Saccharomyces cerevisiae S288C: one gene and its partners. Changing the gene in region 2 together with the main gene of any one other region gives a genetic interaction. Each region holds a gene or a part of one and is shown on either strand. Other genes may lie near its edges.

What was found.
Region 1: mutations in YPL150W (region 2) and SSO2 together harm fitness more than expected from each alone (negative genetic interaction), as found in Saccharomyces cerevisiae (3 studies listed by BioGRID).
Region 3: mutations in YPL150W (region 2) and VHS3 together harm fitness more than expected from each alone (negative genetic interaction), as found in Saccharomyces cerevisiae (3 studies listed by BioGRID).
Region 4: mutations in YPL150W (region 2) and MTO1 together harm fitness more than expected from each alone (negative genetic interaction), as found in Saccharomyces cerevisiae (3 studies listed by BioGRID).

What each region holds. Positions count from the first base shown.
Region 1 is NC_001145.3:626,387-629,738, reverse strand, and holds SSO2 (syntaxin), read left to right. Parts: upstream 1-1,930; coding exon 1,931-2,818; downstream 2,819-3,352. Other genes in the region: RTP1 (Rtp1p), read right to left, coding at 1-714; ADD37 (Add37p), read right to left, coding at 954-1,550. UniProt on the Saccharomyces cerevisiae protein: Required for vesicle fusion with the plasma membrane.
Region 2 is NC_001148.4:266,359-271,393, forward strand, and holds YPL150W (non-specific serine/threonine protein kinase), read left to right. Parts: upstream 1-1,829; coding exon 1,830-4,535; downstream 4,536-5,035. Other genes in the region: mRNA splicing protein PRP46, read right to left, coding at 1-1,177; ATG5 (Atg5p), read left to right, coding at 4,952-5,035. UniProt on the Saccharomyces cerevisiae protein: Putative serine/threonine-protein kinase.
Region 3 is NC_001147.6:427,311-431,569, forward strand, and holds VHS3 (phosphopantothenoylcysteine decarboxylase complex subunit VHS3), read right to left. Parts: upstream 2,548-4,259; coding exon 523-2,547; downstream 1-522. Other genes in the region: NOB1 (rRNA-binding endoribonuclease), read right to left, coding at 2,937-4,259. UniProt on the Saccharomyces cerevisiae protein: Component of the phosphopantothenoylcysteine decarboxylase (PPCDC) involved in the coenzyme A synthesis. Acts as an inhibitory subunit of protein phosphatase PPZ1, which is involved in many cellular processes such as G1-S transition or salt tolerance.
Region 4 is NC_001139.9:53,224-57,419, forward strand, and holds MTO1 (tRNA modification protein MTO1), read right to left. Parts: upstream 2,574-4,196; coding exon 564-2,573; downstream 1-563. Other genes in the region: transcription activator HAP2, read right to left, coding at 1-305; YGL235W (uncharacterized protein), read left to right, coding at 2,056-2,592; ADE57 (bifunctional aminoimidazole ribotide synthase/glycinamide ribotide synthase), read left to right, coding at 3,259-4,196. UniProt on the Saccharomyces cerevisiae protein: Component of the MSS1-MTO1 complex that catalyzes the 5-carboxymethylaminomethyluridine (cmnm(5)U) modification at the 34th wobble position (U34) of mitochondrial tRNAs.

The DNA of each region.
Region 1 (3,352 bases), on a different chromosome or scaffold from region 2:
TGTTTCTACTAGTAGAGTGTAAACCCCAAACAAAGTATAAGTTTCTTGAGTATCTTCTAGATTTGTAATCATTTGTGAAGAGTACCTATTAGGCAACTGCAAATGTAACACAATCAAACCTAATAAAATGTTTGCGTAAGCACTGCCTTTTGATATTATTTCTCTCAGGTAGTCAGAAGACCTCTCACTAGTTAGAACATTATAAAAGACAGTTATGACTTGAGATAAAGTATCGTTATTTATGGTGTGCCATCGAGGCGTTTCATATTCTGCGCTTTTTTGGCCCTTCTTGAAAGTATTTATTCTTTTCGAATCGAATGGAATTTTCATCGTAGGAGACAAATTAGCATCTATACCATGAATAATCAAAAGATTTATCAGTTCGTCTACGTATTTCATATCATGCAATGAGATAGGCAATAAGTCACTTTTACTTTCGATGAGCCTCCGTTGCTGTTCTAGTACGTGAATGTGCAAATTCTGGAATTTCTGTAAAAGTACTGCAACAAACTCATTGTTATTTGAGCACTTCAACGCCTGATAAATGGAAGAGGATGATGATGAGCCTGAATCAAGAACATATTCGTTTATGGGAGTAATTACATTGTCATCCAGATCTTCGAAGAAAACATCTAGGGCTGTCTTTTTGGTGAGCTTCGGTCTTGTATTCAATATATCGTGTATGTTGATCTTTTGCTCTTTATCCTCATTCATTTTCCAACCTTTTGTTTTTCTTGATCTGATATGACAAGAAGAAACATGAGGCGGTGATGAGCCCTTATTGCTATATGCTGTTCGACGCGATGAGATGATTACATGTTTTTTATTAAATTTCTCAAGCAGACTGCGGGTAACCTTGATTTTTAATTATTCAATAGGAATTCTTTTTTTTTTTAGAAAATAAAATGTTCTGCGTAGTGTACTTCTATTTATAAATATAATAATATTATTGATTAATTAGGCATCGCATTTTCAAAAATTTTTAAGAATGCGGGACACCAATTTGAGATTGTTGTGTCAGTAACCATCCAATGTTTAATGGTTTTCACGGCCATATTTTTGTCTTTTTCATTGAAAATCTGGGATAGTACTGTTTTGGTGTGCTCGTTTTGTAAAATCTTGGTAATGTTTGAATCTAATTTTTTCTTGTAAAATTCCAACTCCTTCGAAGAGAGCTTCGAGCCACACACACAGAGGTCGTTGATCTTAGCCACTAATTCTTCTTTACTGCATAATATCGGCTGGAGCTGTCTATCGCCTTGGTCTTTTACGAGCACACCTTCACAGGCAGATTCTTGTTGAGCAGCAGTTACAGATGGCCTCCTCAAAACTGGTGGCGGCGTAGTAGCTGTTTTAGTGTTCCCATAAAGATCTAACACTTCTGTGGCAAGTCTGCCGCTAACACATCTTTTCGATTTCGTTCTTTGTTTAGATTTGGATCTAGGTCCGCTATTAGGGTCGATAGAAAACAAAACTGTCGGACAGTCGTTATAACCAGGCACTTCAGCTTCTAGACAATTCTGAAAACTTTTGGTTGGTTTAATAGCCATCGTACGTAATAGTATGTGCGGAAATAGATTGACGAAGAACCGACAGATGCGCGTCTACTGAAGCTCTTATGAGTAGCCTGTGTGAATAAAGAAGCCAGCTAAAAGTAAATATGTGGCATCTTTATGTCTTACGAGCCGGGTACCAAGCGGCAGCAAAGGGTCCCCCCTAAACGACGTGCTTATCACCCGGCCGTTGTTTACGAAATGGCCTTTTTTGACGTTTTTAGTTTCAATGGATGGATGAAAAAAGCAAGTAAAATGACAAATAAATGCTGTTGGCAGGTTAAATCGTTTAATATACCCATAAGAGAGCTGGAATAGTGTGGAATTGTAATACTTTACATTTGAAAACTGCCCATACACGCACAAATATTGCAGCAATGAGCAACGCTAATCCTTATGAGAATAACAATCCGTACGCTGAAAACTATGAAATGCAAGAGGACTTGAACAATGCTCCTACTGGTCACTCAGATGGTAGCGACGATTTCGTAGCTTTTATGAACAAGATCAACTCAATAAATGCTAACTTGTCCAGGTACGAAAACATTATCAACCAAATTGATGCGCAACACAAAGACCTACTTACTCAAGTGAGTGAGGAACAGGAGATGGAATTGAGACGTTCTTTGGACGATTACATCTCTCAGGCCACAGATTTGCAGTATCAATTGAAAGCGGATATCAAAGATGCCCAGAGAGACGGATTGCACGACTCTAATAAACAGGCACAAGCTGAAAATTGCAGACAGAAATTCTTAAAATTAATTCAAGACTACAGAATTATCGATTCTAACTACAAAGAAGAAAGCAAAGAGCAGGCGAAGAGACAGTACACAATTATCCAACCGGAAGCCACTGACGAAGAAGTGGAAGCCGCCATCAACGATGTCAATGGCCAGCAGATCTTTTCCCAAGCGTTGCTAAACGCCAATAGACGTGGTGAGGCCAAGACAGCATTGGCCGAAGTACAGGCTAGACATCAAGAGTTGTTGAAGTTGGAAAAAACAATGGCTGAACTTACCCAATTGTTCAATGACATGGAAGAGTTGGTCATCGAACAACAAGAAAATGTGGATGTCATTGACAAAAACGTCGAAGACGCTCAGCAAGATGTAGAGCAAGGTGTGGGTCACACCAACAAGGCCGTTAAGAGTGCCAGAAAAGCAAGAAAAAACAAAATAAGATGTTTGATCATCTGCTTTATTATCTTTGCTATTGTTGTTGTCGTTGTGGTTGTTCCATCCGTTGTGGAAACAAGAAAGTAATAGAGCACATGCGCCTCCCTCCCGCCAGCCCCCCAATTCCTATTATGTGTAATCAAACAATTTCTATTAAAACCGAAAACCTAAAAATTGTAACGTCTTTTCTCTTTCCTACTATACCCTCCTCATACCTGCCTTTTTAACAATTAGTATTATAATTTTTTTTTTTCACAAAAAGACAATACCGACTATCTAATAAATAATTTTAATACGTATGTAATTTCGTTAAGAACAAGAATTTTTAAGTAAAAAATCTTACTTTTAAGAAAAACTGTCGCCCTTAATATTAGTCCCAATTTTGTAACGAAAAATAAAATACAAATCGGGGTGGAAAAAGGGAAATTTTACAACATTATTATTCCAAAAACTAGTTTTCAAAAAGTAAATCGTGGGGGTATGAACAACAATTGTTGTAGTCGCAACTACGGTAATTGGTCCTAAAAAATTATTCTCCGGGAAAAAAAGAAGAAACAAAGAGATCCCGAAACATAAGTCCCGTGATTCTTTTTGCCCCCCGCTTTCTTTCGCCAAGAGAAG
Region 2 (5,035 bases):
CCATTTCTCTCGTGGCCAACGATTGGTATTTGTGACCAGACTTATAATCATAAAAGGAAAGCACACCATTGTCACCGCCAGCGAATAATACATCATCTTGATTAATGCTTAAAGTATTGATTATGCCTGTCTTTTCAGACTCAAAATTGGTGAGTAAAGACCCCTCTGCTAATCCCCATGATCTGATGTCATCAGTACACGCAGAAGCCACCGAAAACTCCTTAGGATGCAACGCTGTAGCTCTCACAGACCTCTTATGATGTGTTAGAACTTTCATTGTTTTCCCAGCAACTACATCCCATAACCTTACCGTAGCATCAGTCGATGAACTCACCACTTGAGGGTCTACTGGAGTACACTGTACTTGATTGATTGGACCCTTATGCCCAACTAGTGTAATAACAGGTATTCTGGTTCTCATATCCCAGAGTTTGATAACGCTATCTCGGCCTGCGGTAGCTATGAGATCCAGCGTTGGATGTATGCTCACCGTACGAACCCCCGATAAATGTCCATAGTAATCTCTAATAATTTGGTTTTTCTCTAGGTCCCAGCATTTGACCGTCTTATCTTCACTAACAGAAAATAAATAAGGATGTCGATCTGACACAGCAACGTCTCTCACTGTCATTACATGCCCTGCTAAGGTAGTTTTTAATTTTCCTGTTGCAAGATCCCAAACTTTCATTGTCGTATCATTACTTCCGGTGATGAACCATTCGTTGTCAACAGGATCGATTGCAACGCATCGTACCCATCCAAGATGGCCATTGATAACGCGTGAAAGTTTCCAGGGTGCATGCCATTCCGGCCTTTGTGACAGAAGTTTTTCGTATCGATTAACTATAAGTTCTTCAGCAACCTCTGGTTGGAAAATTTTATTCACAAAAGCAGATGCATGCGTATCGTGATCTTTCTTGCTAATCACTGCTTGTGATGCTTCTGAAAAATCTGTAGGAACATGCTGCAGAGTAACTTTCTTGCCTTCACCACTAAAAGAAGAACTTTCCTTCCTATAAGTATCATATCGCATTAGCAATGATTTCTGACCTTCCATTTCGCTTTGTAGGTGGGGCGGCAGAGTGGCCATATATGAAAATTGGTTATTCCAGCGTATTCTGGAATAAAATTTGTCTACATCTCCTAAATTTTCGACTTTGTGATCATTTCCGTCCATTCTCACTAATCTCCATGTAACACAGTGTCTGCATCCTCGGAAATGGTTTTAAGATGCAATGAAGTGGGTAATAATTACTGTTAGCTTCACATCTTGAATAATCTTTTATTGCCAAAATTGTAGCTTTTCCGTATTAGATGATGAAGAATTTTGAGCACCCTTACTTAATAAAAGAGTTGTTGAACTCGAAATAGGAATACGAGATGAGGAGTAATTCTCTGAAAGTAGATAGCTCCTCTTGTCACATTGAATGCTACTTTATTGTGACTATAGGTGATTTAAGCGAACGAATGTTCTTAGGTCATCGTGGATTTGTGTGGTGATTTTCGGCTTATCTTAACAATGTTGACCGCGTGGACCCTCCCAATCTTGACAACAGAACACTTATCAATAACGGTATACAATAAATATCTTGTATGAATTAAATAAAGTAACGTTTTTTCCCTCATATCATTCCGAATCATTACGAAAATTCCAATACCTGTATTTTGAAGTCAACAAGAGTTTCGTTATCCGAATACTATTTTTTGTATCAATAAATTTTGTTTCGTTTTTCATTAATAACTAGTCACTGTGTAGTGGAAGCAAGTTCTCCTTATCCGTTGCCAAGAGACAATAAAAGACCCACATATAGGTGAATATACTGCTCACCATGGTTAATCCTGTTGGATCCTCGAAATTGGAACAAAACAATATAAAAAGCATTATAGGATCATCGTACAATCGACTATACAGCCAATTTACTTCTGATGAGTTGACAGAAGTGGGAAACTACAAGATTTTAAAACAAATAGGTGAAGGAAGTTTTGGAAAAGTATATTTAGCGCTCCATAGACCAACACATCGTAAAGTCTGCCTAAAGACGAGTGATAAGAATGATCCCAATATCGTTAGAGAGGTATTTTACCATAGACAGTTCGATTTTCCTTATATTACAAAGCTTTATGAAGTGATAGTGACAGAATCAAAAGTGTGGATGGCATTAGAATATTGCCCAGGGAAGGAATTATATGACCACTTACTTTCTCTGCGTAGAATATCGTTATTGGAATGCGGAGAGTTGTTTGCACAAATTTCAGGTGCTGTTTACTATGCACACTCAATGCATTGTGTTCATAGAGATTTGAAGTTAGAGAATATTTTATTAGACAAAAATGGAAATGCAAAATTGACGGATTTTGGTTTTACGAGAGAATGTATGACAAAGACGACATTAGAAACGGTTTGCGGTACCACAGTTTATATGGCACCTGAATTGATAGAAAGAAGGACTTATGATGGATTCAAGATTGATATATGGTCATTGGGAGTGATACTATACACATTAATTACGGGATATTTGCCATTTGATGATGACGATGAGGCTAAAACGAAATGGAAAATCGTCAATGAAGAACCGAAATACGATGCTAAAGTTATTCCGGACGATGCTAGGGATTTGATCTCACGATTATTGGCTAAAAATCCGGGAGAGCGCCCATCGTTGTCACAAGTTTTACGCCACCCTTTTTTACAGCCTTACGGTTCAGTGGTTTTAGATCAGACTCAGAAAATTTTGTGCAGACAGCGCAGTGGAGGGACTCAGTTTAAAAGTAAATTAGAAAGGCGATTGCTGAAGCGTCTTAAACAATCAGGGGTTGATACGCAAGCAATAAAACAATCAATTTTGAAAAAAAAGTGCGATTCACTCTCGGGTCTATGGTTATTGTTGTTAGCCCAAGGGAAAAAGCAAGAAAATTGCAAATATCCAAAAAGAAGCAGGTCCGTTTTATCAGTCAAAAAAGTTATTGAAAGTGCTACGCATAACGACACTAATGGCATTAGCGAAGATGTTTTGAAACCCTCACTTGAACTTTCTAGAGCTGCTTCATTGAGTAAAATGCTCAATAAAGGCTCAGATTTTGTAACATCGATGACTCCGGTTAGCAGAAAGAAGTCTAAAGATTCAGCAAAAGTTCTGAATCCTACTCTCTCTAAAATATCCTCACAAAGGGCTTATAGTCACTCTATTGCAGGTTCTCCTCGCAAGTCCAATAATTTCTTACAAAAAGTTTCTAGTTTTTTCAAGTCAAAAAAAAGCTCTAACAGCAATAGCAACAATAGTATTCACACAAATGTTAGTGAAAGCTTGATTGCAAGCAATAGAGGAGCCCCATCTTCAGGGTCGTTTCTCAAAAAAAACAGTGGTTCTATTCAGAAATCAAGAACTGACACTGTTGCAAATCCTTCAAGGACGGAGTCTATAGGATCGTTAAACGAAAATGTTGCCGGTGCCATTGTGCCACGGAGTGCTAATAATACTACATTAGAAAATAAGAAAACTTCTGGGAATGAAATAGGCTTAAAAGTAGCTCCAGAACTATTATTAAATGAACATATCCGAATAGAGGAACCTCGCCTCAAGCGCTTCAAATCGTCCATATCAAGTGAAATATCTCAAACTTCTACTGGTAATTATGATAGCGAATCTGCGGAAAATTCTAGGTCTATATCTTTTGATGGAAAAGTTTCCCCGCCACCGATACGAAATCGGCCATTGTCAGAGATATCGCAAATTTCTAATGACACTTATATATCAGAGTACTCCACTGATGGTAATAATTCGTCATTCAAAATTTCAGACACTATCAAGCCGAGCTATATACGAAAAGGCTCTGAAACTACCTCGCAGTATTCAGCTTCATCCGAAAAAATGACAAATGGCTACGGTAGAAAATTTGTCAGGAGGGATTTAAGCATTGTATCGACTGCGTCGAGCACCTCTGAAAGAAGTTCAAGAACAGATTCCTTTTACGATATCACTACAGCTACACCAGTTGTGACCACTGATAATAGGCGCAATAAAAACAATAATCTGAAAGAGTCTGTTTTGCCCAGATTTGGGACTCAAAGGCCATGGACTGGCAAAAGGACGTATACCACGTCCCGCCATGGCAAGAATGCTAGGCGTTCGTCTAAAAGAGGTCTGTTCAAAATAACTTCTTCAAATACAGACTCTATTATTCAAGAAGTAAGCTCATCAGAAGAAGAAGATCATAATGTTATCTATAGCAAGGGAAAGGGTCTTCCAACACCAGTTTTGCAAACTAAAGGATTAATAGAAAATGGGTTGAACGAACGCGATGAAGAAGGAGATGACGAGTATGCAATTCACACTGACGGAGAATTTTCTATCAAACCGCAGTTTTCCGATGACGTTATCGACAAACAGAATCATTTGCCCAGCGTGAAGGCTGTGGCAACTAAACGTTCGTTGAGCGAAGGAAGTAATTGGTCTAGTAGCTATTTGGATTCGGACAATAATCGGCGAAGGGTATCTTCATTGCTAGTAGAGGATGGGGGGAATCCTACAGCGTAGGTACCGGATAACAGAGTAACTGGTAAAAACGGCAAAAAATACTGTAAGGAAGTTGTCTATATATGTACATATGGATATTGCGGTATAATAAAAAAGCTTTAAAATTATAAAGAAACCCGACTTTTATCACATATAATTATATTATAAAAAAATAATGGCATCTGTATGAACTCGCGATTAAGCTCACTTTTTTCTAATGATCGAAGTTTTGTCCGGTTATCCAACTGTGGCAAGAACATCGCGAGGCGGAGCTAAACACAGAATTTTTGTAGCGCGATGAGAAACATAACGCCTCTTTAGATAAATTATCATCACCTTTTTTACACTAAATAATGAAGTAGCATGCTCAGAAGTGCGAATGAATTTTTGTTCTTTTGGTTCTAGAAGAACGGAGATAGGAAACCTATGATGTAAGTATGAATGACATTAAACAATTACTTTGGAATGGTGAGCTTAATGTGCTGGTATCGATCGATCCTTCATTTTTGATGAAAGGAAGT
Region 3 (4,259 bases), on a different chromosome or scaffold from region 2:
TAGCGGATAGGCTGCTTGATCCTTTTATCCAAGATGTATGATAGAGTCAGGAACTCTTCAAGCGGGAAAGGCGAGAATATCTCTTATGCAAAGTCTAAGACTTCGGTGGCAAGTATTTCCCTTTTATATCTTCTTTGCTTCTGGGCCGATGCAGTCTTTGCCACCGCCCCCTTCTTTCTTTTTTTCCCTGACAGGGCCGAAGCTCGCAGAAAACAGAAAGGTGAAACGAACCGCAGAGCTGTGGAGCATTTGATCTCACCCGCTTTGCGATAAGCTGGCAAGGTTAAATCGGATTTGAACCACTCCCTTTCCCTCAGAATGAACATCCGATAGAGTGACGACGCACCTCCGCAGCATCGTAAGCGCTAACTATGAGACATAAAACTCCCTTTGGAAAATGAGTTAAGTGTCCTACTTGCCTATTTTTAGCCTTCTCTTCTGGTTATCAGTGATTAATGCAAATTTATTCTATGTAAAGATATATATAGTTCAAAAGTTTTACAATAATGAAATTAGTCCTATTTAAGATCGCTGTAGCCCTCCTTTATCTTCTTTCTTTTTTCCTTCATCGTCTTCATCTTCGTCTTCGTCATCTTCATCGTCGTCGTCGTCGTCGTCATCATCGTCGTCATCATCGTCGTCATCATCATCATCGTCGTCGTCGTCGTCGTCGTCGTCGTCGTCGTCGTCGTCATCATCGTCATCATCATCATCGTCATCGTCGTCGTCGTCATTATCTTCATCTTTACCACCAGTATCGTTCTTCTTATTATCATCCTCCTCATCGTTATCTTCATCCTCTTCTTCTTCCTTTCCCGCAGAAACATCGGGATAACCACCTAGTTTGACGACTATCTTGCCAACAATCTCATTTGCATCCATCATCCCACTTAACCCGATGTCACCGTTTATGCCCATGACTTTTTCTGAGGGTTTAAATACAGTTACCCAAGGCATCTCTTCTTGAATAATTCGAAAATGTTTTTTAGTCATTATGGAATTGAACGTACCGCTACCCATTGAAGGCGCTAGGAATATGGGAAACGTTGGATTCCATGCCCTTATTACACTTGTCAAAAGGTTGTCACATAAACCAAGGGCAATCTTGGCCAACGTGTTTGCGGTTAATGGTGCGACAACTAGTATATCTGCCCAACGACGTAGTTCTATGTGTAATACAGGATCAGTTCGTTGTCGCCATACATCCCACTCGTCTTGGTCTGTCCAAAATTGTATATGTGCTGGCAGTTCAATTTGAGGATGTTGCGATACAACGTTTGAAGAGTTGCTGTACGTACGACTACCACCAAGTGTCGAAGGAAATCCAGTAGTAGAGGCCATTTGTTTTTCTTCCTCCTGTTTATTATTTGTCTGAGAAGCCGCTGAGTTTGAAGACGTCTTCTGAATGCTAAATTTTTCAAGAGAGGCTACTTTTTTCTTGTTACCAGTTATATTGCCAGCATTAGAATTGGTGCTGTTGAAAGAAGTATCGATACTATTGTGTTGTTTCTTATTTTTCCTCATATACTTCATTGCAAAAAATTTGGTTGCTGAGTTAGTTAGTATAACTTGTATGCATATTTTGTCCCTTCCGTAAATTTCTTCTAATTTTCTGATCATGTGCTTGAGTTTGAAAACAGACAAAGAACCTGTTGCCCCAAAAAGAACGTGTAGCTTGCCGTCATCTTGGGGAAGCCTTGGATCCATATTGGTCATAATATTTTCTCTCTTCAAGGGATTTGAGACTGCATTGGGAGACATTGCTTCTTCCAAGACAGACTCCAACAATGTGGGCTCTCCAGTCTTTGATATGGAGCCCTCTCGTTCAATGTTGATGGGGTTAAATGTATTCACTACCACAGAGGGGCGAGGACTAGTACTGTTAGACCTTGATCTAACTGATGGGGTGTGTAAAGGATCTTCCACGTAGAAATGTGGGTGCTCCTTTCTGGGGCTATCGGAACTATTGTCAGAGTTTAAAATAGAATCTGTTCCACCGGTGAAACTTAGCTTTTTAGCCAGCAGGCTGGATATGTTATTCCCCATATCAGCATTGGAGAGAATAGAGGTTGGAGTCGAAAAAGAAGAAGCAGAAGCCTCGCCATCTTTTGGTACTTTTGTATTTATGTCTTTCAAGTTTCTTCCTTGATTTGCACCCTCCGCTGCGATGTGTACAGACGTTGCTTTCTTTTCGCTGGACTGTCTGGCCACCTGGTTAGGTGGAGTTTGCTCCACATCCGACCTGAGACTACCCAACTTTGGATCGCTGAATGTAACAGTTGGTATCCTTTTTAACCCTGGCTCTGGTGTATTACTTACAACTGCCCCAGAAGTTCCGCTAGCATTCATGATTGACTTAGTTTGTGAACCAGTGGGACTAGTTGATTTCCTTACTACAGGAGTGTCCAGACTAGAAACGGAAGAAAATGGTCCCGTAGAATTTGTGTCAGGCATTGCCGATGAACCTATATTGGCCTGCTCAGCTCCAGAGAGAGTATTCGAAGCAACCCCTTTCCTATTGTTCTTCAGGCTAGATTTGTTTGTCATTGCGTCTCTGCACTATAATTATGGCCAGTATTCCTCTTTCTGGTCTCTTCTTTGAACTAAAGTAATCTTATAAAAGGCTATCCTTTTTTTGGCAATCTAGTATTAATCCTGATCAAAAAGTCCTCAAAACGAGCCCTCTTCAAAGTGCTGTAACACCATTCATCTCATAAGGGGAGGGCATACTGAGCAATAAAACGTTTTCTTACCTTTTCGGTCTTTTGGACTCTCCAACCAGAAAGTTAAAGGGCAAAAAAGCTCACATGACACGCTTGTTTTGGAAAACGTCATAGAAAAACCACGTGAAAAAAAAAAAAAAAAAAAAAAAAAAAAGAAAAAGAAAAAGGGCAGCTGCCAACTAGTACACACTACACAGATATTTATGAAAAACACTAACTTCTCCTTTTGGAACTGTTGACGTACCTTCCCTTACCAATGCGGACGTTATGCTGCTTCAACCCAGTAATTGCAAATGGAGAAATATAGTTATCCGCAGAACCGCCACCAATCCAATTGTTTAGAATCTTCTCGTTGTGTCTTCTTGTCCATTCTTCTTGCTTTATCACCTTTTCGTACTCCTTTTGATCTTCTCTGAGAATCACATTTTCCTGTGGTTTAGAATGTACGTGTCCCTTTTTGCCGTACCTTTTTTGGGAGTTCTTAGATAAGGGGCTGGCTACAGAATATCTGTTTCCTCTATTGTTCCATTGGAAGTTCGACTTCAAGTGCGGTGTAACGTTCCCCGTGCGTGAGTCAACGGAAACTGCGCATCTTAATAAGGTACCCTGTCCACCGCATGAGGCACAGAAGTGCTTTGGCTTGCCGTCTTTTGGTAGAGGAAATATTTTGAAACAGGCGTGGCATCTTAGCATATAATTACGGATTCGCTTGATTTTCAGACCTGACATGAAATTCATTAGATTTAGATTCATCTGCAACGCTACATTTTGGACGGCAAAATCGCCAGTCGCCAATGCCACCTGATTCTCTGGTCGATTCAATGCGACATGGCGATCCTCTTCGGACGCTTCTACACCCAATGAACCAGTGGTATCTTCACCACTATCCTTAATAATTGCTTCTGTTAAGTTCTCGGGGGTAATCCAATCACCATCATCATCAGCATCCTCGAATACTTCATTTAAATCGGAAGATTCCTTTATATTTTCATCATTACATATCTGCTCTTTGGATCCAGCCTCCTCAACATGTTCCTCAGCTTTACTCTCTAGCTCAAGGTTTGCATTTTCAGCTTCTCTTGCTTCTCTTGCTTCTCTTTTTGCCTTTTGCTTTTTTCCACCTCTTCTCTTGTTCTTTTTTTTTGGAACACTTTCAGAGTCCTCCTCCTTTTTATTATCTTCTGTGAGCTTCTGTTTGCCGTCCGTACCAACGTCAGCCTTGGACGCATCTAATGCATCACCTGGTTTTTTCCTCAGTCTCCAATCGCCATTATTTAGTTTAATTTCTAACTCGTATGTCAAAGCAAGAATATGCAAATCATTGGCACTCAGTACGGAGTAGTCACCGGTCAATTTGGCGAACGTACTTACTTTGGCTATCGAGTTTTCACTTGGATGTACTAATTTCAAAGTTCCGAGGCTCTGCCAAATTTCAAGGTTTTTCCTTGCTTGAGCATCCTTAATTTCTTGAAAAACTGTGGGAGTAGTATAAAAAGACTGTGCATAATTCTGGTAATGTGTGTAGGACTGCGTAAT
Region 4 (4,196 bases), on a different chromosome or scaffold from region 2:
GATGGTTCCATCGTACTGACACTGGAAGATGTATACTGTGACTGTTGTTGTGGTTCCAAGGAGTCCATAACTCTATTCTGTGATGCCCGCAATCTGTTAAACAAAAACAAATCTTCTTCATTTGTAACCCGTTGATCTTCGCCTCTTGGAGAAGGCGCTTTTCCCATATCCAAGGGCATCTCTATGGGCTTCTCTTGAAGAGAGGGACTGCGTGAAGCTGCTGCCGTTGATGTTGCAGCCGCTGTATCAGATTGCAGATCTGTTTCTAATGGATGAAATTTCGCATCCGTTTCGTCTGCTGACATGGCGTTCTTGTTCCTCTTCCAAAAAGAAATGCTTTTCCAAATACAGATGCGATTAGTAAATCAAATTATAAACGACAGTGAGTTGCCCTTTTGCAAGTACCTTCAACACAAACACTTTATTTATTCATCGAGGTCCCCTTGTAAGGGAGAATTAATGTTACGATACAAGAAGTTTTCCGGGTAAGATTGCTAAATAACGAATTTGATGGTTACATACAATGAATTATTTACATATACAAGCTAACGATTAAAGGATATTTACATGACTGGTTGGCTTGGCTTCCGTGCCACACGGTAGAGTTCAAATAGGGCTGCCGCAGTGATACCTTGAATCCGTCTTGCTTGGCCTATGGTCAATGGCTGTACGCGGTTCAAGAGTAGTTTGCATTCAGTGGAAAGCGTGGGTAACTGACGGTAATCGTAATCTTGCGGCAACAGCATATTTTCGTCTGCCTGAAATGCCTTCACAAACTGGTTCTGTTTGACAATGTAAGGTTCGTATTTACCTTGAATGTTAATTTTGGTGACAACATGCATTGGGATGTCCAGCAAATTAATGGGTAAATCGGGAATGCACTCGTAGAGTTTATGTAGATCCATATCTTTGAATCTGAATATTTCCCAAGCAGATCTGTTTTCAGCCTGTGGCGCGATATTAGCCTGTAGTAAGCTAGACCATTTTTGAGAGCTTAGCTTGAAATTTTGAAGCGCCCGTATTGTTTCATCATATAGGTGCTTGTCTCTTGAATATTGACTTAAACGGACAGGAGATATAATCCCTAGTTGAGCACCAATGGGCGTCAGTCTGAAGTCTGCGTTATCGGCTCTTACGCTGATTCTGAATTCTGATCTGGAAGTAAACATTCTATATGGTTCTATGACGCCATTATTGATTAGATCGTCAATGAGCACACCAATGTACGCTTCGGACCTTTTCAAGACCAATTGCTCCCGTTCTTGGCGCGATAGTAATCCTGCATTGATACCTGCAATGATCCCCTGTGCAGCGGCTTCCTCGTAGCCTGTAGTACCATTTATTTGTCCGGCCAAGAATAGTCCATCCACCAATTTTGTTTCCAAGCTAGGCTTTAATTGCCGTGGGTCTACGTAGTCGTATTCCACGCCGTATGCCGGCTGCAAGATCTCAACGTTTGCCATGCCCGGGATGAGCCTCATCATTTGTAACTGGACATCCTCAGGCATAGAATTGGATATCCCGTTCGGATAAATGACGTCGGAGTTGAAACCTTCTGGTTCCAACCATATCTTATGGGAAGATCTATCAGGAAACCTTAGAATCTTAGCTTCGATGGAGGGACAATAGCGGGGGCCTTTGATGGTCGTGTCCTGAATATGAATGGATTGATGCAAGTTATTGCGCAAAAAGTCGTGCATTTGAGGTGTGGTATGTGTGCCAAAGCAATCCAGTTGCTTCGTGGGTTCGACTGACACGGTTTCATTCAGAAAACTCATAGGGACAGGCAACGCATCTCCCTTCTGGACCTCCAGAGCGCTGAAATCAATGGATTCCTTGGCCAGCCTAGCCGGAGTGCCTGTTTTCAAACGCCCTAACTGAAAGCCCACCTCATTTTGTAGAGTATTGCTGATCCCATATGTTGGCTGCTCGCCAATTCTTCCTGCTGCAATACGCTTGTCGCCGATGTGAATTTCTGCACTGAGAAACGTACCTGTAGTGATTATGACCTGATCTGCCCCAACCTGGGTACCGTCATCCAGAACCACACCTTTGATGACCTTGTGGCCACATCCGGGGTCATACAAGATCAAGTCAGCAACTTTGTTCTGCAGCAGAGACAAGTTGGGGTGTGCTTTCTTGTCGGAAAGTTCCCTTTGCATGTATTTCTTATATAACTCTCTGTCTATCTGGGCTCTGGGCCCCCACACAGCAGGACCCTTGCTTCTGTTCAGCATTTTGAATTGCACTCCAGCGAGATCAGTTACTTTGCCCATCAGCCCATCGAGAGCGTCGATTTCCTTTACAAGGATGCCCTTACCCACTCCACCAATAGAGGGGTTGCACGAACACTTACCAATATCTGTTAACGATGGTGTAATGAGAGTAGTATGCGCACCAGTCCTAGATGACGCAGCTGCAGCTTCGCAGCCTGCATGTCCAGCACCGATGACCACGACCTGTGTCTTGGTTGTGGGTTGGAAGCTTGTCAAAGAAGATATGGTCAACCGCCTCCTGAGGACCTGTAAGGGAAATGAAGTACACGAAGACGCCAAGGTTGTTACACGCAGCATCGTTCTTTGGGGCGTTTAGCTGGTATTCTGCAGAAACTATTGGATGCCCTCAAGATTTAAGTGAAGAATTAAACCGCACTTATCCGTCTGTGAAAGATGCCACCATACGTTACCAACCATAAAGAAAGTGGCCGCACACAGGTACCTTAGAGAAGCCACAAGGGCTCGATTACACGGTGGCGATCAAGAGCCATACAAAAGTAGAAGACCCCCGGATGAAGAAGCACCTCTTTGTACGTTCCTTCTGCAACGCCATATCTAAGTAACAAGAAAGAAGCCACAGCATTACTACAACCCCACACAGGGACAGACAGATATCATAAACTTGAATCTACTATATCATACTCTAATAACTACCTAAGCGTTAAGAAATCGTCTAATCTTCAACTGCCGTTGTTCATACCGTGACTAATAGTGGCAGTAAGCAGCTTTTTTTTTTTTTCAAAATTTTTCATTTTTTTTTTCAGTTGACTCGCCCCGTCGGTAGTGACAAGTGCCGACTGACTCGTGTCCTGGTAATAACAGCAATAATGAATATGCGATGGGCTTGAACTTGGTATTTAAACTATGTTCAGAGGCAAGTGCAACCGCTGTTAACCGTCCCAGGAGCTACCACTAGTAGCGCAGTTATTTCTTATTACTTTCTTAATCATAGCTTAAGAGAACCATTCTCCCTCCCCTCACAATGCTCAACATTCTCGTTTTAGGAAACGGTGCAAGAGAACACGTTCTTGTCACCAAGCTGGCTCAGTCACCCACCGTGGGTAAGATCTATGTCGCTCCAGGTAATGGAGGGACCGCAACCATGGATCCTTCGCGTGTGATAAACTGGGATATTACGCCAGATGTCGCCAATTTTGCTCGTTTGCAGTCGATGGCTGTGGAACATAAGATCAACTTGGTCGTTCCTGGTCCAGAATTACCTCTAGTCAACGGCATCACCTCCGTGTTCCATAGCGTTGGTATTCCCGTTTTTGGACCTTCCGTCAAAGCCGCTCAGTTGGAAGCTTCCAAGGCTTTCTCCAAGAGATTTATGTCAAAACACAATATTCCAACCGCGTCTTATGATGTCTTCACTAATCCAGAAGAAGCCATTTCATTCTTGCAAGCTCATACTGACAAAGCTTTTGTCATCAAGGCCGACGGGATCGCTGCTGGGAAAGGTGTTATTATCCCATCTAGCATCGACGAGTCCGTCCAAGCTATCAAGGACATAATGGTCACCAAGCAATTCGGTGAAGAAGCGGGCAAGCAGGTTGTGATAGAACAATTCTTGGAAGGTGATGAAATCTCTCTACTCACCATTGTTGACGGGTACTCTCACTTCAATCTCCCCGTCGCACAAGATCACAAGAGGATCTTTGATGGCGACAAGGGCTTGAACACCGGTGGGATGGGTGCCTATGCCCCCGCTCCTGTGGCCACACCATCTTTGTTGAAGACCATAGATTCACAGATTGTGAAGCCTACGATTGATGGGATGAGACGTGATGGTATGCCCTTTGTTGGTGTGCTGTTCACCGGGATGATTTTGGTGAAGGATTCTAAGACAAATCAACTTGTTCCCGAAGTGTTAGAATATAATGTCAGATTCGGTGACCCAGAGACACAGGCTGTTTTGAG